Linked DNA regions of Pelodiscus sinensis. The protein of the gene in region 4 interacts with the protein of the main gene of each other region in a biochemical or structural test. Links are inferred from orthologs where the notes say so. Each region holds a gene or a part of one and is shown on either strand. Other genes may lie near its edges.

Evidence for each region.
Region 1: of the proteins of UBA1 (region 4) and ubiquitin-conjugating enzyme E2 E1, one has a biochemical effect on the other in vitro, tested with the Homo sapiens proteins (9 studies listed by BioGRID, with this or other methods). The link is inferred for Pelodiscus sinensis from reciprocal best matches to the Homo sapiens genes UBA1 and UBE2E1.
Region 2: of the proteins of UBA1 (region 4) and UBE2T, one has a biochemical effect on the other in vitro, tested with the Homo sapiens proteins (4 studies listed by BioGRID, with this or other methods). The link is inferred for Pelodiscus sinensis from reciprocal best matches to the Homo sapiens genes UBA1 and UBE2T.
Region 3: of the proteins of UBA1 (region 4) and UBE2N, one has a biochemical effect on the other in vitro, tested with the Homo sapiens proteins (10 studies listed by BioGRID, with this or other methods). The link is inferred for Pelodiscus sinensis from reciprocal best matches to the Homo sapiens genes UBA1 and UBE2N.

Annotation. Positions count from the first base shown.
Region 1 is NC_134712.1:189,268,465-189,276,311, reverse strand, and holds the start of ubiquitin-conjugating enzyme E2 E1, read left to right. Parts: upstream 1-4,843; 5' UTR 4,844-5,075; intron 5,076-5,264; exon of another isoform or gene 5,265-5,497; intron 5,498-7,847. UniProt on the Homo sapiens protein: Accepts ubiquitin from the E1 complex and catalyzes its covalent attachment to other proteins. Catalyzes the covalent attachment of ISG15 to other proteins. Mediates the selective degradation of short-lived and abnormal proteins.
Region 2 is NC_134737.1:14,427,877-14,435,307, reverse strand, and holds the start of UBE2T (ubiquitin-conjugating enzyme E2 T), read left to right. Parts: upstream 1-4,429; 5' UTR 4,430-4,587; intron 4,588-4,935; exon of another isoform or gene 4,936-5,259; intron 5,260-6,162; exon of another isoform or gene 6,163-6,235; intron 6,236-7,431. UniProt on the Homo sapiens protein: Accepts ubiquitin from the E1 complex and catalyzes its covalent attachment to other proteins. Catalyzes monoubiquitination. Involved in mitomycin-C (MMC)-induced DNA repair.
Region 3 is NC_134711.1:79,917,243-79,924,768, reverse strand, and holds the start of UBE2N (ubiquitin-conjugating enzyme E2 N), read left to right. Parts: upstream 1-4,523; 5' UTR 4,524-4,651; coding exon 4,652-4,681; intron 4,682-4,947; exon of another isoform or gene 4,948-4,962; coding exon of another isoform or gene 4,963-4,974; intron 4,975-5,193; exon of another isoform or gene 5,194-5,211; intron 5,212-7,526. UniProt on the Homo sapiens protein: The UBE2V1-UBE2N and UBE2V2-UBE2N heterodimers catalyze the synthesis of non-canonical 'Lys-63'-linked polyubiquitin chains. This type of polyubiquitination does not lead to protein degradation by the proteasome.
Region 4 is NW_027465846.1:72,464-80,172, forward strand, and holds the start of UBA1 (ubiquitin-like modifier-activating enzyme 1), read left to right. Parts: upstream 1-4,695; 5' UTR 4,696-4,710; coding exon 4,711-4,737; intron 4,738-5,382; coding exon 5,383-5,477; intron 5,478-6,182; coding exon 6,183-6,314; intron 6,315-6,816; coding exon 6,817-6,891; intron 6,892-7,168; coding exon 7,169-7,307; intron 7,308-7,709. UniProt on the Homo sapiens protein: Catalyzes the first step in ubiquitin conjugation to mark cellular proteins for degradation through the ubiquitin-proteasome system.

The DNA.
Region 1 (7,847 bases), on a different chromosome or scaffold from region 4:
CTCAATAAATAACCATTGGGTATAGATGGTGAGTGCTAAATTCTACCAAATGGCCTTCGCTACATGGCGTAGATGAGTTACAAAACATTATATCTCTGCCGCATAGGTGGCATCGGCATCCACAGGCAACTGAGATTCAGCTGGTCCAAACACTTTTAACAAAGTCAATGATTTTCCTTATCCAGCCAAGCCTTCATTTATTAATTTAACATTTTGGTCATAAGTAAGGCCTTGTTAAAATAACTGTCAAAGACAAGCCCACCTCTAGTGCCATCTCCAGGTCAACTGTTCCTGTATGACATGACATATTCTCTGGAGAGAGTAAACTGTCCATGAATAATTTTACATTGGAAATTAAAAGAAGGTTTTTAACCATCAGAAGCATGGATAGTGGTGGGAGGGGGACTAATTAGTATTAAGATAAAGTTAGATACATTTTTTAGTGGAATTGTTTGATGGAGTTGCTTTGGAGTCCTTTCTGGTTCCTGTCCTAAAATGTCATGCTTCAAGGCTTCAGCTAGTCACCTGAAGGGGTAAAGAAGGAATACATTTTCACCCAAAATATTCCGGGTGGGGTTTTTTATGGCCATGGCCATGGCCATGGATGGGATCAGCTGATACTCTGAGGTAGTACTGAGAATTCTCCTTCTCAGCTGCTGAGTTGATGAGTCTGGTTCACATGTACAGGGACAAACTAGTTCAAGGTCAGGAACAAATTTTCCTCAGATTATGTAGGCTGTAACCTTAGGGGGTTTTTTCACCTGCCATTGGAGGATGAAGTACAGTACAATAAAGGTCATTTGCTAGGATCTCAATCAATTCCATGCCATTATAGAGGCCTTGGGCACTAGTGGCACTTTGGCCCTAATGTCCTAAGGGCTATAATACTTTTGTCTGATTCTGTTTGTTGGGCTTGGTGTGGATGTGGTGAGATTCTCTCTAAGCTAGATGATCTGATGGTCCCTTCTGATCTTAACGTGTACGACTGTACAACTGTCAGGGAAAATTCAACTTTTCTTTATGCTGGAGTCTCAGAGAGGCAGGATTCCGTGGGTTTGAGAGTAGAGTTGAGTGAACAAAGCAGCAATGGGATATTATGAGATGTACATGTCATAAAATGGCTCTTTGTGAAGATTTAACCTGAGATCACCAATACCACAGACCCTATTGTTTGAGCTAAGAGAAGAGTTATTTTGTCTGTGAGATAGTACTATGGAACTGACGGAGCCAGCCGTGACTAGAGAGTGATGTGACCACATGCATCATCCTGTTTTACATGCCCTCCTGTGAGATACGTTTCTGATGAGCAGGGCTTGACAAACCCCGGCAAGAGCCACTTGCCAGCCCCACACTGCGCAGGTGCCAGACCGGCACTGCGCATGCGCGAAGCACCAGTGAATGTGGCGCTCGGAGCGACCGGCTGAAATCTACTTGCCACGGGCAAGTAGATGCAGCGGTTTGTCGAGCCCTGCTGATGAGAATCTGAGATCCACAAAAACAAAAGTTCCATATGGAGAGCCATTTTGGAGGAAATTGTAAATTCATACACAATGGAGAACATCTTTGTTTCAGGATGCTCTTTAGCTTTTGATACTGAAATTCCAGGACTCAGTCCTCAGTGACAGCTATGGCGAGTGTCTAAATATGCAGCCATGAAGTGTTACAGAAGGTAATTTGATTAAAACATGAGACTGGAAGTCTATTTTTTAGAATTACTGAACATCAATAGGGTTATCAGGAAGGCGAAAGTACAATCAGAATTGCAACTGGCAAGGATGTGAAGGATAACAAGAAGGCTGTGTCTAGACTGGCAAGTTTTTCCGCAAAATCATCTGCTTTTGCGGAAAAACTTGCCAGCTGTCTACACTGGCCGCTTGAATTTCTGCAAAAGCACTGACGATCTCATGTAAGATTGTCAGTGCTTTTGCAGAAATATTGTGCTGCTCCCGTTCGGGCAAAAGTCTTTTTCCTAAAAACTTTTCCGCAAAAATGGCGATTGGGGCTTTTTTGCGGAAAAGCGCGTCTAGATTGGCCACGGACGCTTTTCCGCAAAAAGTGCTTTTGCGGAAAAGCATCCTGCCAATCTAGACATGCTTTTCCGAAAATGCTTTTAACGGAAAACTTTTCCGTTAAAAGCATTTCCGGAAAATCGTGCCAGTGTAGACGTAGCCAAAAGGTTTCTATAGGCATGGTAACAAGAAGAAGGTGATCAGAGGATGTGGGGTCCCTACTGGATGAAGGAGGTAACCTAGTGACAGATGATGTGGAGAAAGCTGAAGTACTCAATGCTTTCTTTGCCTCTATATTCACGGACAAGGTCGGCTCCCGGACTAATGCGCTAAGTGACACAAGATGGGATGAAGATGGACAGCCCTTGGTGGATAAAGAACAGGTTAGGAACTATTTAGAAAAGCTAAATGTACACAAATCCATGGGTCCGGACTTAATGCATCCGAGGGTAATGAGGGAGCCTTTGGCCATTATCTTTGAAAAGTCGTGGAGATCGGGAGAGATCCCGAATGATTGGAAAAAAGCAAATGTAGTGCCCATCTTCAAAAAAGGGAAGAAGGACGATCCAGGGAACTATAGGCCGGACAGTCTTACCTCGGTTCCTGGAAAAATCATGAAAGGGATCCTTAAAGAATCCATTTTGAGGCATTTGGAAGAGAGGAAAGTGATCAGGCATAGTCAGCATGGATTCACAAAGGGCAATTCATGTCTGACCAATCTGATTAACTTCTATGATAAGGTAACTGGCTCTGTGGATATGGGAAAGTCAGTGGGTGTGATATATCTTGACTTTAGCAAGGCTTTTGATACGGTCTCCCACAATATTCTTGCCAGCAAGCTAAGGGAATGTGGATTGGATAAATGACAGTAAGATGGATAAAAAGATGGCTAGAAGGCCAGGCCCAGCGGGTAGTGATCAACGGCTCGATGGCGGTCGGTTTCTAGCGGAGTGCCCCAAGGTTCAGTTCTAGGACCAGTTTTGTTCAATATCTTTATTAATGACCTGGATGAGGGGATGGATTGCACCCTCAGCAACTTTGAAGATGACATGAAGCTAGAGGGAGAGGTAGAGACGCTTGAGGGCAGAGATGGGGTCCAGAGTGACTTAGACAAATTGGAGGATCGGGCCACAAGAAATCTGATGAGGTTCAATTAGGACAAGTGCAGAGTCCTGCACTTGGGACGGAAGAATCCCAAGCATTGTTACAGGCTGGGGACCAACCAGCTAAGTAGTAGTTCTGCAGAAAAGGACCTGGGGGTTACAGTGGATGAGAAGCTGGATATGAGTCAACAGTGTGCCCTTGTAGTCAAGAAGGCTAATGGCATATTAGGGTGCAATAGGAGGAGCATTGCCAGCAGATCCAGAGAAGTGATTATTCCTCTTTATTTGGCTCTGGTGAGGCCACATCTGGAGTATTGTGTCCAGTTTTGGGCCCCCCACTGTGAAAAGGATGTGGATGCATTGGAGAGGGTCCAGCAGAGGGCAACCAAAATGATTAGGGGGCTGGAACATATGACCTTTGAGGAGAGGCTGAGGGAGTTGGGTCTGCTTAGTCTGCAGAAATGAAGAGTAAGGGGGGATTTGATAGCAGCCTTCAACTTCCTGAAGGGAGGTTCCAAAGAGGATAGAAAGGGGCTGTTCTCAGTAGTGACAGATGACAGAACAAGGAGCAATGGTCTCAAGTTGTGGTGGGAGTGGTCCAGGTTGGATATTAGGAAAAACTATTTCACTAGGAGAGTGGTGAAGCACTGGAATGGATTACCTAGGGAAGTAGTGGAGTCTCCATCCCTAGAGGTGTTTAAGTCTTGGCTTGACAAAACCCTGGCTGGGTTGATTTAGTTGGGATTGGTCCTGCCTAGAGCAGGAGTCTGGACTTGATGACCTTCTGAGGTCTCTTCCAGCTCTATGATAGTATGATACTATGATCCAAACTCAATGGGAAGTCAAGAGAGCTGCAAGTGTTGAGCATCCCAGAAAATCCTGGGAGACTAGACAGATGGGTTTTGATTTACAAAACATAGATTGGTGGGAATAATCATACCCATCATACTTGATAGGTGTGTTGTGCAGTTGTAATCATTTGTTTGTAGATTGCTTTGAGATCCTCCATTGCAAGGAAGGATAGAAATCATAGAACACTAGGACTGGAAGGGACCTTGAGAGGTCATCGAGTCCAGTCCTCTGCCCTCATGGCAGGACCAAATACTGTCTAGACCATCCCTGATAGACATTTATCTAACCTACTCTTAAATATCTCCAGAAATGCAAAGTAATACTAATGATTATGATGCACAGTGGTGATTTCATTTTCCTGCCTACTACACTATATCACATAGTTATTGTCTGGTCATCTCTTGATATACATTTGGAAACTAAAAGCACTGAACCACATTCAGCGGTTATATTAACCTGCTGAAGTCAACGGGGGAGGAAGAAGGGACAGAAATAAATCTGGTGCAGCGTTTCCATTTAGATCTATGGCACTATGCCTTGGCCCATAGAAAAGTGACTGACTGCTGTCTTCTTACCATGGGAGAAGTACAGTGAATCACTCTTGAAGTCAGTGTTATTTTTTCTTAGGGCTGTGCAGGTAGCAAAAAGATCATCTGCAAAGGCTTTGCAGGGGGAGAAGAAGGAGACAGGGGGGAGAAGAAGGAGAGAGGGGGGAGAAGAAGCCACTGGAGATGCAGCATCATCTGGCCCAACTTTATTTAATGCGGTGCCCCAGCTGGGAGGCTCCCCCTTTGCGGATCCTGTTCCATTCCCAAATCCAACCTGCTTTTCCTTCCTGTAGCTGGCCAGCCTGCTGCCGTCTCTCCGCAGGAGCTGCTGACATCACAAGCGGCCCTTCCTTTTGTGTGGCGCTGCGCGCGCGGGGGGCTGCGTGGGGACAATGGAAGCCTGAACCCGGGGCGCGGGCAAGGGGGAAGCAGCTGCTGCGGCGGCCGAGGATGAGTCAAGGCTGAGCGAGGGGAGGGGAGAAGCGGCTGCTGCGTGCGGGCCGGGACAGGTGAGAGACGGGGAGGAAGCTGCTGCCGCTGCCGCTGCCCTAGGACTGAGCCAGGTGAGAAGTTGCGGCGGCGGGAGGGATCAGGCCGGGGGGAGCTGCGGCTTTGGGGCCGAACCAGGGGGGGGAATGGGCAGGCGCCCGGCTCAGCCTTCGGGCAGCCCCAGCTGCTCCCAGTGCCCCCTAAGACCGGGGCAGGGAGCGGAGCCCCGCGGCTCGTTATTTCTCCCTCTCCGCGCTCACACACTCGCCTCGGCAGGCGCAGGAGCCTCCCTCCGCGGCCCCCGCGCCGCCTGCCCCCTGGGGGTGAGGGCAGCCTGCTCCGGCAGCCCCGGCTCGCCGAGGGGCCGGGGAGGAGCGGGGCAGCCATTGCCTGGGTAAGAGTTGCTGTTGCAGCACTTCCGCTTCTCTCCCAGCGAGAGACACGAGTGGCCAGGCCCAGCCGCGCCGCGGAGCAGCCGCCAGACACAAAGGGAGAGGTACGGAGCGGGGCCCCCTGCCCGCAGCCCGCACCCCCCGGCCGGGCCCCGGCCGCAGCGCGACACTCGGGCCGGGGCCGGGGCCGGGCCGGGTTGGCAGGGATCCCCCCGTCCCCGCAGGGCCCGCGCCCGGGCCCCAGTCTCGCTATCAGGGAGCTGAGCAGCGCTGTCCTGGAGGTGTGCCCCGTGCACGCCCTGCCCCCCGCATCCCTTCTCCCCCCGGCTCTGCCCCCCGCATCCCTTCTGCCCCCCAGCCTTTCTCCCCGTCACTGCCCTCCCGAGAGTGCCCCCCGGCACTGCCACCCCCGCATCCCTTCTCTCTCCCCCCGCATTGTCCCCCTTTGGGAGTGCCCCCCCGCATCCCTTCTCTCCGCCCCCCCCCACCCGCACTATCCTTCACATCCCATCTCCCCTTCGTCTCCATTGCCTCCCCACATCCCTTTTCCCTGCCGACCACTGCCTCCACCCACATGTCTTCCCCCCTCCCACGCTTCCCCCCACATCAGCACTGTCCCCTCCTTCCTCATCCCTTCCCCCCTGAGTCTGCTCCCCCCCCATCTCTTCCCTCTCCGCATCACTGCCCCCTTTCCTCCTCCCCTCCCCCCAAACCGACACTGCCCTCCCCCCATCCCTTCCCCCCTGGCACTGCTCTCTTTTCCTTCCCAGTATTGCTCCCCCTTCCTACATCCCTTCCCCCTCTTCCTCCCAGCACTGCCTCCTCACCCCCTCCATCCCTTCTCTCTCTTCCCAGCATCCCTCCCCCATCCTCATGCCATTCCCACATCCCTACTGTCCCTCTCCACATCCCCCCATACTTCCTCCCTGCACCCCCCCCCACACTTCCTCCCCGCATCCCTCCTCCCTATCTCCCTGGCATTGCCCCCTCTCATACCTTCCCTGCCCCAGCACTATTCCTCCCCTACATGCTTCCCCTCATGCACTTGCTGCCCTCCTCTATTCCTTCACCCTGGGCCTGCTCTTTGCCATGTATTCCACCTTCCTTAAGACTCCTCCAGCCCTCCCTCCTGCATTGCCTCTCACTGTCCCTCCCCTATGCACATGCTGCTGCTCCCCCCCCCCCAGCACTTCCCCCTCAACCCTCCTCCATCCTGGGCCTGCTCTCCTTCCCCATTCTTTCCCCCAACCCTGGGCTTACTCTTCCCTCCACTCAAGGCCTTCTCTCCCTCCTCCATTCCTTCTTCCTCCATCCCTCCTCCCCTCTCCTGGGCCTGCTCAACCCCAGCCTTCATTCCAGCACTACCTTCCCTCACATCCCTCCCCCATGCACATGCTGCCCCCCCTGCTGCTCCTCCCCTGGAACTGCCTCCCCTGATCCCTTGTCCTAGCCCTGCTCTCCCCTCTCTCTCCTCCTATGTACCCACTGCTCCCTAGCACTGCCCCCCACATCCCTTCTCTCCCTCCCTGCCACTCTCCCTTCCCGCCACTGCTCTCCCTTATCCCTCCCCCTTGTGCACGCACTGCCCTCCCCCCCATCTCCGTTCCTCCTCCCCCAGCTCTCCTCCCTCATCCTTCCCATGCACATACTGTCTGTTCCCTCTGGCCCTGTCTCCCCACACACCCTCCCATCAGCATCCCTTCCCACCTCTGCACTGTTCTCCCCCTGCATCCCTTCCCCTGGCACTGCTTTCCACATCACTTCCCCCCTACTGCACATACTATCTCACCCCCCCCCAGCACTACCCTTCGCATTCCTTCTCCTGGCCCTGCTCTCCCCCATCATCTCCCCTCCCCTGTATTTCTTCCCTCCCTGCTACACTATACCTGGCCCTGTTCTTCCCCATTCCTTCACGCTGATCCTCCCTGTCTCTCCTGTACTCCTCCCCCCAGCACTGCTCCCATTCTTCTGTCCCCCTGCACTGCTCCCCCTTCCCTTCACACAGTCCCCATCCCTTTCCACTTGCACTGCCCCTTCCCCATTCCTTCCTCCCTCCTTCCTGAGCACTGGTTCCTCCTGCCCTTCCCCCCTTCATTCCACCACCTCAGGCACTGCTCCCCCCCATCTCTAGCCCCCCAGTAGGCACTGATTTCCACTTTCCCCTACACATACCCCATCTTCTTTGCCTTGTGTGGGCACTGATCTTCTACCTATACCCAGACATTCATACCTCAACAGGCAGTAACCTCCCACCCGTGCCTGTCCCTCCCCCTTGCAAGCACTGACCTCTCCCCCTCACACCTTGCAGGCACTGATCTCCCTCCTCTTCTGCTGCAGGCACTCATCTCCTCTCCCCTCATCCCCTGCAGGCACTGATCTTCTCTGCTGTCCTTCCTCCTACTCCTTACCCCCTGCAGGCCGTGATCACCCCCACTTACCGCCTGCAGTCCATGA
Region 2 (7,431 bases), on a different chromosome or scaffold from region 4:
ACTAGGGTTTGCCTACTGGGGTAAATGATACCAGAATAAGGTCAGGTGTGAATTCAAAGTGCTGTAGTTAGACTGTACTGATGGAGCCCCTCAGGTGGACACTTATTCTGGTTTAAGATTAACTGGCGACGTCTAGACTGGCATGATTTTCTGGAAATGCTTTGAACGGAAAAGTTTTCCGCTAAAAGCATTTTCGGAAAAGAGCGTCTAGATTGGCACGGATGCTTTTCCGCAAAAGCACTTTTTGCGGGAAAGCATCCATGGCCAATCTAGACGCGCTTTTGCACAAAAAAGACTCGATCGCCATTTTCACAATTGGGGGTTTTTTGCGCAAAACAAATCTCAGCTGTCTACACTGGCCCTTTTGCGCAAAAGTTTTGCACAAAAGGGACTTTTGCCCGAACGGGAGCAGCGTAGTATTTCCGCAAAAAGCACTGATTTCTTACAGTAGGAAGTCAGTGCTTTTGTGGAAATTCAAGCGGCCAGTGTAGACAGCTGGCAAGTTTTTCTGGAAAAACAGCTGATTTTCCGGAAAAACTTGCCAGTCTAGACATAGCCTTTGGGTTTAGCTTTTATCCCCTGCCAAAATGACAAGCAAAACAGAAAAAGGCACTCTTAACTGGAGCAAGTGTCCACATGCGAAACTATTGGCGTAATTACCGCACTGCAAATTCACACCCTGTCTTACACTCATGTAACTTCCCTATGTAGGGAAACCCTAAGAAGCATGCTTTATAATTTGTTCTGAGGTTTTGGTTTGGACTTTTGATGACCTGGTTTCATTATTAAGCTATTTAACTGGATTCAAATGATAAATTGGATTGATTTTGATTAAATTGTTGAGTCAATAAACACGGTTTCCCACTTAGAACTTACTTTTGGTACTAATCTGTTGATATAATTCCAGTCCATGGTTGCAACTAACTTCAGGCATGACTTGTTGATTTGATGGAGGTATTTAGCGCTAATAATGATAGCTTAGTGCCAGTGATAATTTCTTCTCATTTTTAAATCTTAAATTAAAAGTTTTCACCTACTACATATGTAGTGTGTGTGTGTCCAGTTTTCTGAGTCTGTTCAAGAACTCCTTGTAAATGATAAGAGCTAATACCACCAAATCTGGTGTGCAGCTTCCTCTTATCATAACGTAAAGCAAGGCACTAGGACAATGGGATTTGCCTGGAATACAATTGTTTCTCATAAAAACACACAGGGAGAAATCTGCTAGCAAGTATAGTTATACTGCAGAATGATCACAGGGGGGCAGGCGCATGGGTGCAAGAGTGGCTAGCTAGGGGCAGTGCTCAGGATGATGCTGGCCAGCCCCAGGTAGCCGCTGGCCAGGCACCATGCTACCACAAAACTCAGACAGTTCCGGGGAACTGCTGGCTGGGGATTGGACAGCCTTCTGCACACTGTACCCCAGCCCTGACACCCACCACCTCCTAACCCCCTGCCCTGACTCCTGCACCCCTACACCTCTGCCCTGAGCCCCTCTTTACCCAAGCAATGCTGGGTAAATGTGTTAGTATGATTTATTAAAAAAAACAACAACAACCCTGGTACTGATTGCTTTCAATAAGCAACACTGGCCCAGAACCTTTAAGGGCCAAAGGTGGATACCAGCCTGTTGGATTAAAAGTCAGACTAGAGCCCCATGGTAAGTCTGTGGTTCTCCCAAAATGCATTGGGTGGCTGAAGAATGAGGGGGTAGCAGGCCTAGGGCCTGTAGTGCTGTCCCACAGTGCTCGGTGGTGGATGAAATAGAGATTGGCACATATCGGGTTCACTGCAAAGGGGGATAGGGCAGGGACAGAGAGGGTGTCAGTCCCCTCTCTGATGGAGGGGTCAGCCTGTTTCAGTGCAGTAAGGATCACAGTAACATCATTATCACTATATTGAATATAGAGGCAGACTGGATGGGAGCAGGGTTCCCCCTAAAAATCTGCAAATATCCCATGGCCACAAGCCTGGCCCAGCAAAAAAGACTGTCATTTCCTGATTTACTTGCAGATAGTTTCATGTTATTTACCTCCTTCCTGGTGATCCTTGGCCCTTCCCAGAATCAGCCGTTGTCTCCTTCCTGGGGATCTTCAGGAGATTTGCTGGGATCAGCCCTAGCTCCTTCCTAAGGATCTCTACGTTATGCCAGCTTCCTTATATAACAATAAGATAAAGAATGGGGTCATCAGGCAGAATTTAGGTCACTACAGCTCTGCTGGCAAAGACTGCGATTGTGATTATACAATTTCATGTAACTGATCCAACCAGAGGGAGGAACCTTTAGACAGGCTTAGAACTTCAGGGCAGAATCCACAGGCAAAAGAAACTGCAGCCTCTTCTCTATAACAGCTGGTATAGCTGTATGTATTTTGATGGATTTTAAGATATTTAATGCATTCAGGGCAAACTTCAGTTATTAAAGAGCTGAATGGATCCTAAGGCTGGCAGCATGAGTAGTGAAGAAGTCGGTTATCTTACAATGAAGTACTCTAGTGATCAGGTTTGGGTTATTTAACTGCTCTACTATGATGTCATATTGGTGCTTTTGGGGGAAGGGGAATTTCAGAGCAAAATTACTGAAAAATTGTGAGATCTATTTTATAATACATTTCATAATAGCTCCCACACAACATTTTTCACTATTTTTTTACATGCTATTTTTCTATACTCAAATGTAATTGACATTTTCAAAAGCTTGTACAGGTTGCACAAGAGTGAGTGGCCCTGGTGCAGTTATTGCGTTAGGAGAGCCATGCCTTCGGACACAGCTAAGGGTCAGTCACTAGTTCTCACACTGCAGTGGCTGACCCCTTGTGGCCCCATCAGCAGAACGGTAGCTCCTCTGACACCCTCAGGGCCAGGGGGGCAATAGTGGCTGCTGAGGCCCACAGGGTGGGGTAAGCAGGTCGAGAAGCAGGGACCGATGATCAGTGCTCCCAGAGGGGTGGGGAAAGCATCACTGGGGTTTCTCGACAGCAGGAAAGCAATGGGCAGCTGCCAGTTTCTTATGAAAAGTTGGTGTTAGTGTGTGTGTGCTGTGTTAGTGTGTGTGTGTGTACACGTGTTGTGTTTGTGTGTGTGTGTTCTGTGTTAGTGTGTGTGCACGCAGGTGCTGTGTGTGTGCGCGTGCTGTGTTAGTGTGTGTGTGTGCTGTGTTAGTGTGTGTGTGTATATGCACGCAGGTGCTGTGTGTGTGCGTGTGCTGTGTTTGTGTGTGCGTGTGCTGTGTTAGTGTGTGTGTGTGTGTGCACGCAGGTGCTGTGTGTGTCCGTGTGCTGTGTTTGTGTGTGTGTATGTGCTGTGTTGGTTTGTGTGTGTGCTGTGTTTGTGTGTGCGTGTGCTGTGTTAGTGTGTGTGTGTGTGTGCGCATGCAGGTGCTTTGTGTGTCCGTGTGCTGTGTTTGTGTGTGTGTGCTGTGTTGGTGTGTGCGTGTGCTGTGTTGGTGTGTGTGTTGTGTGCTGTGTCGGTGTATGTGCTGTGTTGGTGTGTGTGTGTCTGCGCTGTGTGTGTGTGTGCTGTGTCGGTGTATGTGCTGTGTTTGTGTATGTGTGTGTGTGTGTGTGTGTGTGCTGTGTTGGTGTGTATGTGTGTGTGTGTGCTGTGTCGGTGTATGTGCTGTGTTTGTGTATGTGTGTGTGCTGTGTTGGTGTGTGTGTGTGTGTGTGTGTGTTGGTGTATGTGTGTGTGCTGTGTTGGTGTATGTGTGTGTGCTGTGTTGGTGTGTGTGTGTTGGTGTGTGTGTGTGTGTGGGTGTGTGTGTGTGTGTGGGTGTGTGTGTGTGGGTGTGTGTGTGTGTGTGTTGGTGTATGTGTGTGTATGTGTGTGTGTGTGGGTGTGCTGTGTGTGTATGTGTGTGTGTGTTGGTGTGTGTGTGTTGGTGTGTTGGTGTGTGTGTGTGTATGTGTGGGTGTGCTGTGTGTGTATGTGTGTGTGTGTTGGTGTGTGTGTGTTGGTGTGTTGGTGTGTGTGTGTGTGTGTTGGTGTGTGTGTGTGTGTGTGTATGTGTGGGTGTGCTGTGTGTGTATGTGTGTGTGTGTTGGTGTGTGTGTGTTGGTGTGTTGGTGTGTGTGTGTGTGTGTTGGTGTGTGTGTGTGTGTGTTGGTGTGTGTGTGTGTGTGGGTGTGTGTCTGCAAAAACAAGGCGGAGCCCCAGCCCCTCGGTGCCCCAGTAGCTCTGGCGGTGTGCACGTGCACTGTCTGGGGGGGCTGTATCCCCAGCGGGGTTACACCCCCCCCCGCACTGGGTTCGACTCTCTCCGCCTGCCCGGGCTGGCCTGGCGGGTCTCGTAACTCCCTCACTCCCCCCACCCCTGTGGGGGCGGGGCCCAGGGCGACTCCTCCAATCCCAGCCCGCCTCTCTTCCTGGCTCCTAAGATTCGAAGTCGCTGGGCGGAGCCTTGGGCTCCTCTCGGCCAATCAGCCCCGCGCTCCCCGCAGATCGGCACCTCAGCAGAGCTACCCGGAGTCAGCCTGCCTGGTTGCTAGGCGCCCCCGGAAGTCCCGCCTCGTGGTTTGGCCCCGCGCCGGCCCGTGTTGCCCTCGAGCCCGCCCGTCGTTTGGCTGCAGCGGCGCCCTGAGGCTGCGGGTGAGAGGAGGCGGGGTCCGCCTCGCGCCCTGAGGCCCCGCCCCCAGCTGCGTAGGGCGCCCGGGGGGGGGGTGATCCCCGTGGGGGGAGTGACGCGGGGGGAGAAGAGGGTGATCCCCGTGGGGGGAGTGACGCGGGGGGGGGGAGAGGGTGATCCCCGTGGGGGGAAGTGACGCGGGGGAGAGAGTGGCCCACGTGGGGGGAGTGACACGGGGGAGGGGGACAGAGGGGAGAGGGTGATCCCCATGGGAGGAGTGATGCGGGGGGGGGGAGAGAGTGGCCCCCCCCTTGGTAGGTGCGGCTGGGGGAGCAGTCCGTACTCTTTACCCTTTCTACAGGACCGAGACATATTTTCTGTTGGACTTTATTGTCCTGGTAACACAAGTGACAACGCTGCCTGCGAAGCTCTCGGGCTTTCTGCAGGCTGGTGCTGTGCAGAGCCTGGGTGTTTTGCAGCCCTGTCGCTTAGTTTGTCAGCATTAGCTTTGCTGATTGATCAGGAAACCAGGCTCCTTGGTGTTACTGACTAGCCTGGGAAGATTTCCTTCTTCACAAGCTGTTTTGCAAGAGGTGCACCAATGGCCCCTTTTGTAACTTCAATAAGTAGTAAAAGTTTGACCCACAAACATCAGGAACTGCCTTCAGGTTGTGGAGATGCTGTTTCTTCATCAGGTAGTTAGTTGTATTTGTGCTTTGAGCTGTTCAAATGTAGATACAGTTCAGCAACTGAACCTTCAGATGATATGTTGGTACATTCCTGATTCTTGGTATATTCTTCATCATGGTTATTTTTTGAGGTCTGTGAGTGGAAACGTTGTTGAATTGCTTTTTGTCTTTTCATTTTGACTTTGACCTGCAACATATGAAATAGGAATGAATGTGACATTACCCATTATCTGTGTCCAGCTCAGTTTTTGAACCTTTCACGCTGCCTTCACTGTGAGAACAACCATTCTGATCTGTTCATAAAAAAACCTCCAGCAATGTAGCTTGCTTCCAGCTATACAGTATAAGTGTTATAGATGGTCACTTACGAATTACACTGCAGAAGAACACCAACAAAGTCTCCAGTCCCAGACTCTGCCACCCCTTCCTCCCCCTCCCCCCAAATATACATCTCGTATAGCCCAGCACTCCACTGGACAATTCAAGCTCTTATAAAGTCCATCATTTCATAAATAGAAAGTGATATGCACAAACCCTGTATCTCAAGTGGAGATTCCCCCCAAAATATCCAAACATGCTGGTTTAGATAAAATAATAAAACAAGCTTAATAACCACAAAAATAAAGATTTTAAGTGATTACAAGTCACGAGGCATAAAAGTCAGAATTTATTACAAAATGCAAGAGGCAAAACACAGCTAATTAACGTAACAGGCTAAGTGAATTCAAAGTAAAATGTCTCTCACCACATGCTTTTGCAGTCTTGCAGGCTAGAATCCTTTCAGCCAACCTGCCTTCCACTCCAGTTCAGTGTTCCTTCAATTGTTTCTGATGCTGTGAGCAAATAGAAAAGGAAAAGTGTTTTGGACCGTCTCTCCTCATTTCTTATAGTTCTGTTTTCTCTTTGAAGATCATCTCTAGCTGGGATTCAGGTGACAGAAGGTCTGGAGGACAGAAACCTCCAGTGATGTTGCTGTCAATAGGTATAGCTCCCACTCAGACCTTTCTTCCTGGCAAAGAATGGATGATAAACCAGATAACAGTCAATTCGATGTTGTTGACACTTGATTGAAGTTAGGGATGTAATAGTGTAGCCGATTAACCGATAAGCTTTTGCTTATCGGTTATGCTATAGACTACACACATCCCTGCCCCCGCCCACCATAATTTTTAGCAGGCTGCCCAGCAGCCCGGCTCAGTACTGGCTTGCTCACTAATAGGGGAAGTAGAGGTGGGTGACAACCTGGGAAGCAGTGATCATGAGATGGTAGATTTCAGGATCCTGACCAAAGGAAGAAAAGAGAGTAGTAACATATGCACCTTGGACGTCAGAAAAGCAGACTTTGACTCCCTCAGAGACCTGATGGGCAAAATCCCCTGGGATGCTAAGATGAAGGGGAAAGGAGTCCACGACAGCTGGCAGTATTTTAAAGAAGCCTTATTGAAGGCACAGAAAGAAACCATCCCGATGCGTAGCAAGAGAAGCAAACATGGTAGGAGACCAGATTGGCTTACAGGGGAAATCCTCGGTGAACTTAAGCACAAAAAGGGAGCTTACAAAAAGTGGAAACTTGGACAAATGACCAGGGAGAGCTATACATGTATAGCTCGAGAATGCCGGGGGGGTATCAGGAAGGTGAAAGCACAATTGGAATTGCGGCTGGCAAAGGATGTGAAGGATAACAAGAAAACATGCCTGTAGAAACCTAACACAAAGAGGGTGATCAGAGAGGGTGTGGGGCCCCTACTAGATGAGGGAGGTAACCTAGTGACAGATGATGTGGGGAAAGCTGAAGTACTCAATGCTTTCTTTGCCTCTGTATTCACGGACAAGGTCAGCTCCCATACTAATGCGCTAAGTGGCGCAAGATGGGATGAAGATGGACAGCCCTTGATGGGTAAAGAACAGGTTAGGAACTATTTAGAAAAGCTAAACATACACACATCCATGGGTCCGGACTTAATGCATCCGAGGGTACAGAGGGAGTTGGCAAATGTCATTGAGGAGCCTTTGGCTGTTACCTTTGAAAAGTCATGGAGATCAGGAGAGATCCCGGATGATTGTAGTGCCCATCTTCAAAAAAGGGAAGAAGGACAATCCAGGGAACCATAGGCCAGTCAGTCTTACCTCAGTCCCTGGAAAAATCATGGAAAGGATCCTTAAGGAATCCATTTTGAG
Region 3 (7,526 bases), on a different chromosome or scaffold from region 4:
TTTCTGCAAAAACGTTGCAGTCTAGACGTACCCTGAAAGGTAAGAAGCAGAGGGGTCTCTGCAGATGTCCTGAAGGATGGCCCAGGACACCTCTGGAGGGGATCAGTCTCACACCAATTCCAGCCCCACCTCTTTATGCGGGCCTCCCACAGTGACTGCAACCTCTCCTCCCTAGGACAGGCAGTCACCTCCTTGGTGGAGGGAAGAAAGGAATAGGGGGAAAAGAAGCAAGAGAAGGAGAGAGAGAAGGAAAGAGGAAAAGGGAAACCTAAAAGGATAAACCCCAATGTCCTCAGTGATTCTCTGGGACAGAGTCCTTGGTAGGAAATCAAATTATCTTAACTGAGTGACTGCTACACCTAGAATTCAGCTGGTATCAGGTGGATCAGACAGAACAGGTTTCAGACCTGTCTGAGGATCTTACCTTCTATACAGGGATTACAAAATCAGTAGTAGGAAAGGAGAAAACTCTGATGAGGTTCCTCTTCATGCTTATGTCAATTAATCCTAATTCTCTCTGTCCCCAAAGAGAGACTTTAAAAAGGAGCCTTGCTGCTTCAGAGCCATGGGTGTGTCTGAGGTTGTCCTGCCTTGCACCTCTGTCCTGCCTGGCTGATGTCAGGGTCTCTCTATGAGGTCACCATCTCCCCACCAGTTTTCCCCAATAGGCTGAGGTCCTGCAACAGGCCTTTGTGATATCACTGCTGCTCCCACCTGTCCCCTATAAGGCTGGTGTCCTGATCCTGGCCAGCCTCTTGGATGTTTGAATGGCTTCCCCTGAATCATCCCACAGCTGAGTCTGGGGATCAAGCCGACAGCATAGTAAAGCAACAGAGGCTGCTCTCTGTGGCACATACAGTTTTTCATTGATTAGTTGACTTTAAAAGGCCAGAAGGAACCATGAGAGCATCAAATCTGACCCCTGAATATCCCACCCATCCTATATATCCCAGTTGCTAAGTTTTGATCCAAGCACATACCAGAAAGGCACGCAGTCTTCATTAGAAGACATCTAGATATGGAGAATCCATCACTTACTTCAGTAGTTTGTTCCCATGGTGAAGCCTAATATTTGTGCCTTATTTCTAATATGAATGTATTTGGTTTCACCTTCCAGCCATTGGCCTTGAAAGTAGGAATAAGGGATCTTCCGGAAAAGGGCTTATTTTCTGCAAAATCCCGTCTAGACTGGTGCTTTTCTCCGGCAAAACCCCGAATCGGAAAAAAGCGGCAGCCATGTTCATGCAAATGCCGTGGGGGATATTTAAATCCCCCGCGACATTTATAATTCCGAAGTGTCTCATTAGCATCCCTTTTCCGGAAAGGGGTGCCAATGGAGACACAGCCTTCTGGAAAAGCTTCTTCTGAAAGAAGCCTGCAGTCTAGACATAGCCCCTATGTCACTGCCCTGATCTCAGTCTTATTTATCTCTCTGGTAGTATTTTGTCACCCACACGTTACCAGCAGTGATTTTATACTGACTTCCAGTTCATTGATAATTATTTAAACGATTAATTCTCGAGAGCCTCTTCAGAGCCTACTACCAAGTACCTGCTCCTTACAGCTAAGCAGGAAAAGGCCTTCCAGCCCTGATCTTACATAGGAGCTAAGCACAGAACATATGCTTAGGCTCTGAACAAAAAGTGGGGATCAACAGCTTACAAATGCACTATTGGCCCCAATTGTGTGTCAGGGTATGTCTACACTGCGATCAGCACCCCCACCTGCACAGCCGTCAATGACTGTAACGTCATCATCGGGCGCACGGACCAGCGGTGCTCTAGGCAACTGCCTAGTTTGCCTAGGCTCATGGGCCGCCCCTGCTCATGGTCACAAAGCCAGGAAAATGACCGGTTTGATTGACATCTTGGTCCCTAGCTCTCATTATCCTGGCCTCTCGGCTCTAACTTTAGTCTCGGCCAAACTATAGGTTTTCTTCCTGCATAAAACAGATTTTGTGTAGCCATCTGGCTCAAATGCATGTGGATGCTTCAAAACAGTGTGCTCTGGTGAAGTCACATATTCTGGGGTTGATGGAGGGACCACATAGTTGGTGTAGGAAAGGAATTTTCTCATGTGTCAGATTTACAGAGGGAGTGGAAAGTGGGGCAATGTTGCCTTCCTCTGCAGAATGGGGCCTGGGTCACGTGCTGGTTTCAATTAGTGTAAATGGTGTATTCTCCATAACTTGTAGTCTTTTAATCATGATTTGAGTAATTTAGCCAGTGATTGTAGACTGTAACAGAGTCAGGATGGAGGAAGTTCTGTGAACTGCAGCCAGCAGGGGGTCAGACCAGATGATCATGATGGTCCCTTCTACCCTTAGGCTACGTCTACACTGGCCCCTTTTCCGGAAGGGGCATGTAAATTTCACTAGTCGTCGTAGGGAAATCCGCGGGGGATTTAAATATCCCCCGCGGCATTTAAATAAAAATGTCCGCCGCTTTTTTCCGGCTTTTAAAAAAGCCGGAAAAGAGCGTCTAGACTGGCCCCGATCCTCCGGAAAAAGTGCCCTTTTCCGGAGGCTCTTATTCTTACTTCAAAGTAAGAATAAGAGCCTCCGGAAAAGGGCACTTTTTCCGGAGGATCGGGGCCAGTCTAGACGCTCTTTTCCGGCTTTTTTAAAAGCCGGAAAAAAGCGGCGGACATTTTTATTTAAATGCCGCGGGGGATATTTAAATCCCCCGCGGATTTCCCTACGACGACTAGTGAAATTTACATGCCCCTTCCGGAAAAGGGGCCAGTGTAGATGTAGCCTTAAAGTCTAAATCTGACACCTGCCTTTTACCTTACCCTGGATCTCGGACTGCTACTACTCTGACTAATAGGCATGACCGACCAGCCTAGGAATGTAAGGGTATGTCTAGACAATGGCACTTTTTCATGATACAGCAGTTATTCTGAAATAGCGTTTTCCATGTCTTAACAGCATGCTTGTTATTTAGAAATGTAGTCAAAATAACGGGCTTGATATTCTGACGTCCTGGTAAACCTCGTTCCACGAGGCTTAAGGGACTTGTCATAATAGCAGTCTATTTCGGAATTTGGCCCTGTATAAACAGCACTACATCTCAAAATAAGCTGGAACTAAGCTACACAATTTGCGTAGCTCAAATTGTGTAGCTTATTTTGAGCTAGCACAACTGTGTAGACGCACCCTCAGTGGGCTTTGTTTGAGGAGGTGGTGTTATACCAACAGAAACACTCTGTGCATATAAGCTGCATCTAAAGAAGGGGGCTCTGCTGCTGTAGCCATGTGAACATAAGTTTTGTAGTGTAGCTGCACCATCAACTTTAATGTAAAACGTATTTCAAGATCTTGCCGCCTATCTACACTGGCCGTGAGTATTTGCACAAGAACACCGACGTTGTAATGTACAAAATCAATGCTTCTTGCGCAAATACTCTGCTGCTCCCGCTCATGGATAAGCCCTTTTGCTCAAGTATTCTTGCTCAAGAGGCCAGTGTAGACAGGCAACGTTAATTTCTTGCGCAAGAAAGCCCGATGGCAAAAATGGCCATCGGAGCTTTCTTGCGCAAGAGAGCGTCTACACTGGCACGGATGCTTTTGCACAAAAGCACATGCCAGTGTAGACACTCTCTTGCGCAAATACTTTTAACGGAAATTTTTTTCTGTTAAAAGTATTTGCGCAAAATCATGCCAGTGTAGATAGGATACTAGATGGACCTTTGGCTATTCTGTTTCAGCTCTCCTCCCTCATTAATCCTCTTTGTGGCGCTGCTCAGGGAGGGGGCAGGACTTGAGGAAAGGGTGGAGCATGACTGGTGACTGCAGGGTGGGAGAGGCCAGGGCCAGATTATCCATTAGGCACAACAGGCACAGTGCCTAGGGCCTACGACAAAGTTTAGGGCCTACGAAAATTCATAATGGACTTGAAAATAAGAAAACTGAAAAATCAAATATTACAATTGTAACGGCAACATCTTCTTACTTCCCTGATCAGATGATTAACTGCCGGGTGCATCCTAGGTATCATTGTAATATACATCAAAATGGCTGCGATTTTAGCATGAAGTATCATGAATTGCTCACAAGGTGCAGCACTTTCAGGAGCAAAAACTGAAGTGGGCAATATTAGGCATCTATGCACCAGGCATTTCTCCCATATCTATTTAGAATCCAATTGAAAGCCTATAATTATGAGTGGCCTAGGGCCTACTAACCTTAATCCAGGCCTGTCCCTGGCTCCACACCTGGGACGCTGAGGCACGTGCGCGCCCCCCCAGGGCGAGCCCTGTGGAGCTGCGTCTAGGGCGGGTGCCATGGCGAGCACGCGCGGGCGTTTGACCGCAGCCTCGCCTCGCTGGGCAGGTGTCTGGGGCGTGGCAGGGCGTGAGGCGGGCGGGGTGCGGGGCGGCTGCGGGCGGGGGTCGGGGGCCGAGACCAGAGGCAGCGCTGGGGGCTTTAGGCGGGTCGGTCTGGGGGCCGGGCGGTACCGCACGCGCCTGGTTACGGCGACGGCCCCTGAGCGTCAACTCTCGCGCCTCCCCGCAGCCGCGACTACGCTTCCCAGAAGGCTGTAAGTCGCGGCGTGACGTCATCGGAAGGGAGCGCTCGGGTTCCTTCCGGTTGTGCGCGAGTGTCGAGCGGAGCCGAGACCCAGCGGCGCTTGAATCCCGATAAGACAAGATGGCCGGGCTGCCCCGCAGGATCATCAAGGTAACCGCCACCCCTCCCCCACTGCCCCTGTGCCGGGGCGCGGAGCGCGGAGCTTCCCGTGAGCGGGGCGCGGCGCGGGGAGGCGGGCGCTGCCGACCACGGGAGCCCGGGCAGGCCCTGCCGGGCTGGGAGCGGCGCGGGAGCGGGCGGGGCCTTGGCCCGCGGAGCCGCCATTGGCCCCCCGCCCCCGGGGCTGCGTGACCGAGCGAGGCGCGGAGGCCCCTGCGGCTGCGGTGGCGGCGAGGCCCGGGCGGGGTTTGGGCGCCGCCGCGGCGCGGGGAATGAATGGACAGGTGAGGCCGCGGCCTGGGCGCCGTCTCTGGCCGGGGAGCGGCGTTAGCCGCGAGCCCCGTATCCGCCTGCCGGGGCCGCCCCGGACTTGGTGCCTCTGGCACGCCCGTGACAGCGGCAACGAGGGAAATGCGGCACCAGGCTGCTTACCGCGGCGTGCACCAAACCCTGCTCCCACCCGCCTTCTGCAGGGAGAGATTGTGACACACCCACCTACTCACCCACTGTTGGAGCCCATCTTCAGCCTCGCAGTCGGGGTGCCTAGTCTGCGCTAGTCACGGTTTGTGAATCTTTTGATGACTCAGGACTGACGGTCTGAGGAAGTGAGGTTACGCCAATTCTGATGACTGTCCCAAATAGGAATTAACAGGTTGAGGTGACTGTCAAGTATGTGTTTTGCTTGAATTTTAACTTTAAAAAAAAAATAACTTCCAGCAAGTTTGCTCTTTATGTATTTCTATTTTAACACTTAGAAATAGGGCTGAAATTATTTTGCTCGTAGATGCTTCTTCCTAATTAGATGGCAATTTGTAGGTAGTGAGGAAGAAAATTCTACAATGAATTTCTCTATGCGTTTAGTGTAGTAAACAAGAATTCAGAGTAGTCTTGAAACTGGACATTAAATGGAGATGTAAGAACAATAAAGACCTCTTGATTTCTGGATATTTGGGGGGTGTGGGTATATGTAAATAGAATATTGTAGATATTGTAAGTATGGATCTTTCAGTAGTTATATATTTAAGTATGTGTTAATGATCAAGTAGTGTGTTAATGATCAAGTTCTTAGTTTGTAACTACATTCTTAGAGTGCAGTGTGAATCCAACAAACTTCATAGATAGTACTAATTTGATGCTTGCTGAAATATGTAGTAATATTCTTACTTTACCACTTTGTTTAGTTCAAGCCACTGAGTGCCCTAACTGAATCTGACACTTCTTTTTATATCAACTTACATGAATATTAAAGCAGACTACCCAAATACGTATAGCTGTGAAATCCTACAATAAAAAATTAACAGTGCAGCATAACATTGATCTGATATACCTGTGTCCTCTTGTTAGTACAAAATAAATACCTTTCGATAACTCCCAACTCGTACAGTTTAAAGATTAGTCTGAATTCCTACAGTATCTGTAACTCCGACTTTTAAGAAGTCATGTGATGAATAGTTCTATGAAAGTAACTTACCTTATTTGAGTAAGGTTTATTAGGTTTGGATGGAAATAACATGATTGTTTCCTGTTACACTGAATGAAAGTCAGACAAATAACTTATAATGCTTTGAAGCTGTTCTTGGCTGAACACACTGAAAGTTTGCATCCAGTGCAAACAGTGAAGGACAGGAAAATATGCAAGTTAATATGTCTTAAAATGAAATTATATGAACTCGTTGGGATAACAAAATGAGAATTAAAAAGAAGAAACATTCCACTAAAACTTTGTAAGAGAATTAAACCTATAAACTTTATTACCTTTTTCTTAATGTTTACAAGCCACATTGAGAATTTTAAGGACAAAATTATATTAATGGAATTCAGTTACATAGTTCTCTCAAAGTACAGCAAACTGGAAATGTGACTGAAATGAGCAAAGGTAGACTATTACCCTTTAAATATTAAATTAATATTTCATTTAAATTTTGAAATTGACAACCTTTAACCTTGTTGTTATAGAGTAATCATACTATTTTTTGTTTATATTTGTAGTAGGGATGTAAAATCCCTTTTAATTAGTTAACTGATTAAATGGAGGAGGGTGGGGACTGCTCTGGACTGCTGAAGCAGCCCCCTGCCCAGGGTGGGCTACTCTAGCTCCTGTTGGTTATTAGTTATGATTAACAGCTTCTCCCGGTCAGTGCTAGTAATCTTCAGAACGTGACACAAGTGCAGCTTTAATACAATGCTTTTATGTACACCAGTTAATTATTTTATTTGAAACTTATTTTAGTGATTTACATAGATATAGTGATTGCTTAGGCCTCATCTAAACACAGATTGTACATTTTTAACTAAATCATTGTCTAAATATACTTGATTAATATGATTCAGCCCCCTTTTTTGGGCACTCTTGAGTGCTTTATATTGACTAACTTTTTAGCCATTTTAAGGGTGCCCATTTGGGGTTACACTGATTTAACTGATCTAGTTGCTAAATTAGTCTGTCTAAATCAATTCCAGTTTTATGGGCAAAAAAAGCCATACTATATATATCTTTTATTGGATATTTCAAATATATACAGGCAGTCCCCGAGTTACGCGGATCCGACTTATGTCGGATCCGCAGTTACGAACGGGGTTTGCTGCCTGTCTCCCTGGTCTGCTGGAAACCAGCAGACCAGGGAGACGGGAAGCAAAGCCTCTGAGGACGCCGGCAGCGGGACAGCCGCGGCGCGTCTGGGCTGTCCGCTGCCCGTGTGCTCCGCGGCTTTGCTCCAAGTCTCCCCAGACCAGGGAGACGGGGAGCAAAGCTGAGGAGCACGCGGGCAGCGGACAGCCCAGACGCGCCGCGGCTGTCCCGCTGCCGGCATCCTCAGAGGCTTTGCTCCCCGTCTCC
Region 4 (7,709 bases):
GCCCCCCCCATAACCAGCCCTGCCGGGCCCCTCCTGACCCACTGCCCCCCTATAACACAGCCCTGCCGGGCTCCTCCTGACCCACTGCCCCCCCATAACCAGCCCTGCTGGGCCCCTCCTGACCCACTGCCCCCCCCCCATAACCAGCCCTGCTGGGCTCCTCCTGACCCACTGCCCCCCCCCCCATAACCAGCCCTGCTGGGCCCCTCCTGACCCACTGCCCCCCCCCCATAACCAGCCCTGCCGGGCCCCTCCTGACCCACTGCCCCCCTATAACACAGCCCTGCCGGGCCCCTCGGTTCCCCCCGCGGTCCCTGCCAGCCCGGCCCTGGGCTCCCCGTCTCCCCCCCGCCCCGACTCTCTCCGCTCCCGCCCCGCTGCCCCCGACCTAGTTCTCTCCGCTCCGCCGAGCGCTCCGCCCCGCGCGGCTCCGGGCTGCGCTGGACTCGCTCCCCGGCGGCTCGGGGGAGGCAGGCGCAGCGCCCCGCGCTCCGGCCATGGGCCCCTGCGCCCGCGGGGCGCGGTGACCGGACCCAGGTAAGCCGGGGCGGGGCGGGGCGGGGCCAGGGGGGGCGGACGCCCGGGTTCGCTCCCTGCCTCCCGGGGAGTGAGGGCCAGTGGTTGGATCAGGGGGGCTGGGAGACCCCACGCCTGGCTTCCCTCCCGGTCTCCCAGGGGAGTGAGGGCCAGTGGTTAGAGCAGGGGGGCTGGGAGACCCCACGCCTGGCTTCCCTCCCGGTCTCCCAGGGGAGTGAGGGCCAGTGGTTAGAGCAGGGGGGCTGGGAGACCCCACGCCTGGCTTCCCTCCCGGTCTCCCAGGGGAGTGAGGGCCAGTGGTTGGAGCAGGGGAGCTGTGGTCCTGCATGCCTGGCTTCCCTCCCTGCCTTCCAGGGGAGTGGGGGCCAGTGGTTAGAGCTGGGGGGGGGGGGGCTACGAGCCCGGACGCCTGGCTTCCTTCCCTGCCTCCCAGGGGAGTGAGGGCCAGTGGTTGGAGCAGGGGAACTGTGGTCCTGCATGCCTGGGTTCGTTCCCTGCCTTCCAGGGGAATGGGGGCCAGTGGTTAGAGCTGGGGGGGGGCTAAGAGCCCAGACGCCTGGGCTCTCTCCTCGCCCCCCAAAGGAGCAGGGCTGTGGGCACATTTGGGGTGGGCTGTTGTGTGGGGCAGTCTGGGGCAGGTGAAGTTTGGCAAAGTTAAAAGTAGCTGAAGGTTGGCCCCGCCGAAGGGTGGCACTAGGGGGCGCTGTGCTTGGGGGTGTGGCAGGGGGCATTCTGGGGGGCTCCCATTGTGCTCCCTGCCATTGTCAGTTCTCAACCCCTCCCCAGGGTGTGTGTCCCCTGCTGGCGGGGCTGGGCCCCGTGCTGTGGGGTGTGCTGCTGGCTGCGGTGGTCTCACATCTGTTGTCTGGCTACAACGCTGAGTTGTGTGTGGCCTTGCACTTGGGCTGTGTGGTGTCTTCGTGCCCAGCTGGATTGTGTGTCTGTTCCTTGTTGCGTTTGTGTGGTTGCCGTGTGTTTGTTTCCATGTTCCGTGTGTGTCTGCGAGGCTGGGGTCTTTTGTGTATTACAGTGCGTGAATGCGGCTGTGTTGTATCTGTTGCACTGTGTGCTCCTGACTGTGGGGCATGCGTCACAGTGTGGTAGTGTGTGTCACAGCGTGAGCATACAGTTGTCTTGGTGTTGTAGGTATGTTGCAGTGTTTGTATGCAGGGTTGTGGTGTCAATCACAGTGTGTGTGTGCAGTAATGTATGCATCAAGGTGTGTGTGCAGTTGTGGGGTGTGTGTCAAAGTGAGTCTATGATGGCGGGTTGTGTGCATATGGATGGGGATTTCACAGTGTGTGGTTGTGGGGTGTGAGTGTTGCAGTGTATGCATGCAATTGTTTAGTATGTGAGTGTTGTGGTGTGTGAGGTTGTGGTGTGTTGCAGTCCATATGTAATTGTGATGTGCATGATTGTGTGGTGTGTTTGCAGTTGTGGTGTGTGTCTGTGTGCAAGCAATTGTGCGGTGCACATGTGTGCATGGTTGTGGTGCATATGTTATAGTGTGCATGCAGTTGTGGGCTGTGTGGTGCAGTGGGTGTACATTTGTGGAGTGTGTCACAGTGGGTGTGTAGGGTTGTGGGAGTTCTGTCCCAGTTTGGAGGAATTGTGGGGTCTATGGATGTGAGGTTGTGGAGTGTATGTGTGGTTGTGGGATGTGGGGTGCAGTGTGTGTGTGTGGTTGGGGTTTGTGGTTGTGGAGTGTGCGGGGGGGGCTGTGGGTCATGTGTCAGGGTGGGGAGATTGTGGGGTGTTGCAGTGTGTGTGTGGTTGTGCAGTTGTGAACTGTGTGTAATTGTGGAGTGTGTCAGTTTATGTGCAGTTCTGGGATGTGTATGGTGTATATGTCTGGGTTGTGTGTGGAATGTTGAAGCGTGTGGGGTTGTGAGGTATTTGTTATAGTGCAGTTTTCAGATATGTGCAGTTGTGGGTATGTGTGGTTGTGGGGTATTTGTCAGTGTGTGAGTGTTTGTGTGTTTGTGATGTGGTTGTGGGAGTGTCATGGGTGTGTGTGTGGTTATGCTGTGTGTGTAGTTGTGGGGCGTATGTCACAGTAGGTATATGGTTGCGGAGTGTGGGGAAGTTGTGTGGTGTGTGCCACTGTGTGTATGTGTGTTTGTGGGGAAGTGTCGCAGTGTGTAGTTGTGGGGTGTGTGTGCAGTGGGGTTAGGTATGGGGGTTTCATGGTGTGGGGGGCGGAGGTGTCACAGTGTTATAGTAGGTGGGTATCGGGGAGCGTGGGGGGAGTTGTAGTGTGTGTGTTGTGGGGGGTGCAGTGGTGTGGGGCATGGGGGGTTGTGGAGTGTATGTGCATGGTTGTGCAGGTTTGTGGGTTGTGTTGAGGGACGGGGGTGTTGCAGGAAGTGTCAGGTGATTGTGGGGTTTGTGTGCAGTTCTGTGGGCGTGAGGTTGTGGGGGGTGTCGGGGGGTGAGGTTGTGGGGGGTGCAGGAGGGGGGATGCTGGGTGTATGTGTGTGGAGGGGTGCTGTGTACCTGTCTGGGTTGCGTGTTGCAGTTGTTGGTTGTTGGCTGTTCCCTCCCATGCCCCCCCCCCCCCCCCGTTATCCCTCCCCACAGGTTACACCAGGTTCCGGCTCCTGTTGCCTTCAAGAGGCTGTAGCCAGGTTGCCATGGCAACAGCCAGGGTTCTTGGGGTTACCGGGGCGATAGGAGGGTTCTGGGTCCATCTGTCCAGTTGTCACCAATCGGCGCTTGGCGGGGGGCAGGCGGGGTCCTCCCAGCCCGGCCCTGGGCTCCCCGCCCTGCCGGTGCCCCTCACTCCCCACCCGCAGCCCCCCAGCCCGGCCCTGGGCTCCCCCCGCCCGCCGGTGCCCCTCGCTCCCCACCCGCAGCCCCCCAGCCCGGCCCTGGGCTCCCCCCGCCCGCCGGTGCCCCTCGCTCCCCACCTGCAGCCCCCCAGCCCGGCCCTGGGCTCCCCCCGCCCGCCGGTGCCCCTCGCTCCCCACCCGCAGCCCCCCAGCCCGGCCCTAGGCTCCCCGGCCGCCGGTGCCCCTCGCTCCCCACCGCAGCCCCCCAGCCCGGCCCTGGGCTCCCCCCGCCCGCCGGTGCCCCTCGCTCCCCACCCGCAGCCCCCCAGCCCGTCCCTAGGCTCCCCGCCCTGCCGGTGCCCCTCGCTCCCCACCCGCAGCCCCCCAGCCCGGCCCTGGGCTCCCCCCGCCCGCCGGTGCCCCTCGCTCCCCACCCGCAGCCCCCCAGCCCGGCCCTGGGCTCCCCCCGCCCGCCGGTGCCCCTCGCTCCCCACCCGCAGCCCCCCAGCCCGGCCCTGGGCTCCCCCCGCCCGCCGGTGCCCCTCGCTCCCCACCCGCAGCCCCCCAGCCCGGCCCTAGGCTCCCCGCCCGCCGGTGCCCCTCGCTCCCCACCCGCAGCCCCCCAGCCCGGCCCTGGGCTCCCCCCGCCCGCCGGTGCCCCTCGCTCCCCACCCGCAGCCCCCCAGCCCGGCCCTGGGCTCCCCCCGCCCGCCGGTGCCCCTCGCTCCCCACCCGCAGCCCCCCAGCCCGGCCCTGGGCTCCGCCCGCCCGCCGGTGCCCCTCGCTCCCCACCCGCAGCCCCCAGCCCGGCCCTGGGCTCCCCGCCCTGCCGGTGCCCCTCGCTCCCCACCCGCAGCCCCCCAGCCCGGCCCTGGCTCCCCCGCCCGCCGGTGCCCCTCGCTCCCCACCCGCAGCCCCCAGCCCGGCCCCTGGGCTCCCCCCGCCCGCCGGTGCCCCTCGCTCCCCCACCCGCAGCCCCCCAGCCCGGCCCTGGGCTCCCCCCGCCCGCCGGTGCCCCTCGCTCCCCACCCGCAGCCCCCCAGCCCGGCCCTGGGCTCCCCCCGCCCGCCGGTGCCCCTCGCTCCCCACCCGCAGCCCCCCAGCCTGTCCTAGGCTCCCCCCGCATGCTGGTGCCCCTCCCTCCCCACCTGCAGCCCCCCAGCCCGGCCCTGGGCTCCCCCCGCCCGCCGGTGCCCCTTGATCCCCACCCGCAGCCCCCGAGCCCGTCCTAGGCTCCCCCCGCATGCTGGTGCCCCTCCCTCCCCACCCGCAGCCCCCCAGCCCGGCCCTGGGCTCCCCCCGCCTGCCGGGGTATCAGACCCCAGGGGGCAGCTGCTGACCATTGGTTTCATGCCCGGGCTGGGAGCCAGGACTCCTGGGTTAGCCCCGATCTAAGGGGGCCATGAAGGACATCCCCCAGCCAGATCCTGTAAGGGGGGTTCAGGGCCCGGGCACTGCCAGCCCCAGCATAGAGGGGCTGGCTGGCGGAGCAGGGGGGCTGAGTGGCAGGGGAAGGAAGGGCTCAGCAGAGGGTCTGGCTGTGTCTCCCCAGGATGCCGTGGGGCTGGCTGGCGGAGCAGGGGGGCTGGGTGGCAGGGGAAGGAAGGGCCCAGCAGAGGGTCTGGCTGTGTCTCCCCCAGGATGCCGTGGGGCTGGGCTGGCGGAGCAGGGGGCTGGGCGGCAGGGGAAGGAAGGGCTCAGCAGGGGGTCTGGCTGTGTCTCCCCAGGATGCCGTGGGGCTGGCTGCGGAGCAGGGGGGCTGGGCGGCAGGGGAAGGAAGGGCTCAGCAGGGGGTCTGGCTGTGTCTCCCCAGGATGCCGTGGGGCTGGCTGGCGGAGCAGGGGGGCTGGGCGGCAGGGAAGGAAGGGCTCAGCAGGGGGTCTGGCTGTGTCTCCCCAGGATGCCGTGGGGCTGGCTGGCGGAGCAGGGGGGCTGGGCGGCAGGGGAAGGAAGGGCTCAGCAGGGGGTCTGGCTGTGTCCTCCCCAGGATGCCGTGGGGCTGGCTGGCGGAGCAGGGGGGCTGGGCGGCAGGGGGAAGGAAGGGCTCAGCAGGGGTCTGGCTGTGTCTCCCCAGGATGCCGTGGGGCTGCCTCCGGCTGCGGGAGGAGAAGAGCTACAGCAGCGTGGGCGACATCACGGACAAGTACGAGATCGGGAGCTGCTGAGCGTGTGAGTGTTTGGGGGCCCCTCCCCCCCCGCTGCCCCAGCCGCAGGGGCAATCGGTCGTTCTCTGCCTCAGTTTCCCAAGCAGGGGAGAGAGGCTGAGGGGGGAGGTGGATCGTTTTACCAGGCTCCAGGGGAGCCACCTGAAAGCAAAGGGGCCGCCCTCCCTCACTTTTCCCGGGAGCCTGGGGGGACAAGGCAGGAACCTGGACCCAGGGCCGGAGCAGGCCTTGGCGTGGCCCGGTGGGGAGGGGCACGTGGCTGGCCCAGCGGGTTGGCACTTGGGCGGCTGGGTGCTCGCTGGGACCCCCTAGGCCTGGCCCAGGCGCCGCGATGCCTGGAGAGGAATGCTGTCCCAGTCCGCCCAGCCTGTCCAGTTTCCCCAGGACTGGCTCCCCCAGCACCCCCATCTGTGGCCTGATCTTCTGTCCTGGGCGTGGCAGATTCCCATTGGGCCAGGCAGCTTGACTCCCCATTCCTCCCCCCAGGGTGAGTCACCCCAACATCCTGCAGCTCATCGACACCTTTGAGACGCGCAAGGAATTTTACATCATCCAGGAGCACAGCAGCCAGCAGGGGGAAACTGAGGCACGCGGCAGGCTGGGAAGGGTGGTTGCAGTTAGGATGACTGTGAGAACGGGTGGTGCTGGGGGTTGGGGGGCGGGGCTATGGGAGGGGGGGCTCTGTACGATCTCCCCCCTCCGCCCCCAGGAAGGAGTTTTGCGAGCTCTGCCTGGCCCGCGAGCGCCGGAGCGACCGGCTCGTCGTCTGCAAGCGGTTCCGGAAGCGGGACGGCAGGAAGGTTCGCCAGGCGGCCCGGAACGAGATCCTCATCCTGAAAATGTAGGTGCCCACGGACGCGAGGGCCCTGAGCGCCTTCGGCACCTCGCTTTCCTCCTCCTGAGCCCCCCTGGCAGCAAGGCAACGTACCAGGGGGAAACTGAGGCAGGCCTGACCTCACAAAATCCTCTTGAGGGTGCATATTTCTGGCCCTGCTGTGTCTTTCTGTTGGCCCCTGGTGTGTCCACCTGAGCTCCCTGGCCCTGCCGGGGGTGCCTGCTTCTTTGCGAGTGCCTCCAGCCAGTCTCTCCCCTTTGGTGCATGGAGGAGGGAAACTGAGGCAGGCCCCAGCGTCCTTGCGCTTGCTAGAATTGTCACGTGAGCATGAGCCTGCTGCCGTTGGCCGTGCTGAGCGGGGGGAGGGTGGGTCCCCGCGGGGGGGGGGGGGGTCCCTGCAGCAACGTGGGGCAGGCTGGAGGGGGGGGTGTCCCGGCTTGGGGGTGGGGTGGCACCGGCTCTGAGGGAAGCGGTACCGTGGGCTTGACTTTCCCTTCCCTCCCCCCAGGGTGAGTCACCCCAACATCCTGCAGCTCATCGACACCTTTGAGACGCGCAAGGAATTTTACATCATCCAGGAGCTGTGAGTAGGGGGGGCACCGCAGGGCTGGGGGGGAGGGGACCCTGGGGCCGTGGCTGGGGGGGGAGGGGAGCCTGGGGCCGTGGCTGGGGGGCGCCAGGGTTTGGGAAGGGGGGGTCGATCCTGCCCTTGCAGCAGAGGGAGCAAAGGGGGTACAGGCCGTGGGGACCCTGGAGTGGTCCGAGGGGCCATCCTGGGCGGGGGGGAGCAGGCTCCGTGGCTGGGAACGGGGGGTCTCCGGGCTCCCCCAGGCTAAGCCAGTGCGGCGCTGCCCCGGCAGGGCGACGGGCGGGGACGTCTTCGACTGGATCCTGGACCTGGGCTGCTACTCGGAGCGAGACGCCAGCAGCCTCGTCCGGCAGGTGCTGGAGGCCCTGGCCTACCTGCACGGCCTGCACATCGTGCACCGCAACCTCAAGGTCAGCTGCCCCCCAGCCCCGGGCCCCCCTCCAGCGCTGCCACCGGGGCCAGGCTAATCCCCTGCTCTGCCCACCAGGCCATGCTCCCCTCCCGGAGCCGGGGGGAGAACCCAGGCGCCCCGGCTCCCAGCCACTCGCCCCGGCTCCCAGCCCACTCGCCAGGGTTTTGGGAGGTTCGCTGGCTGGTTTCTTTAGCTCACATCCTCCCTCTGGTGGCCACTTCTGTGCTGTGCCCAGTAGGGTGGGGAGGGGAGGGGGCAAGCTGGCTGGGGGGGGGGGGGGGGGAGGAGCAGCTGGCTAATGTGGGGCAGACAGCCTGAGGAAGGAGGTGGCAGAGTTGTGGGGGGCTGACAGCGAAGGAGGCGCTGTGGGGCTGGCAGGGGAAGGGACGCTTTGGGACCG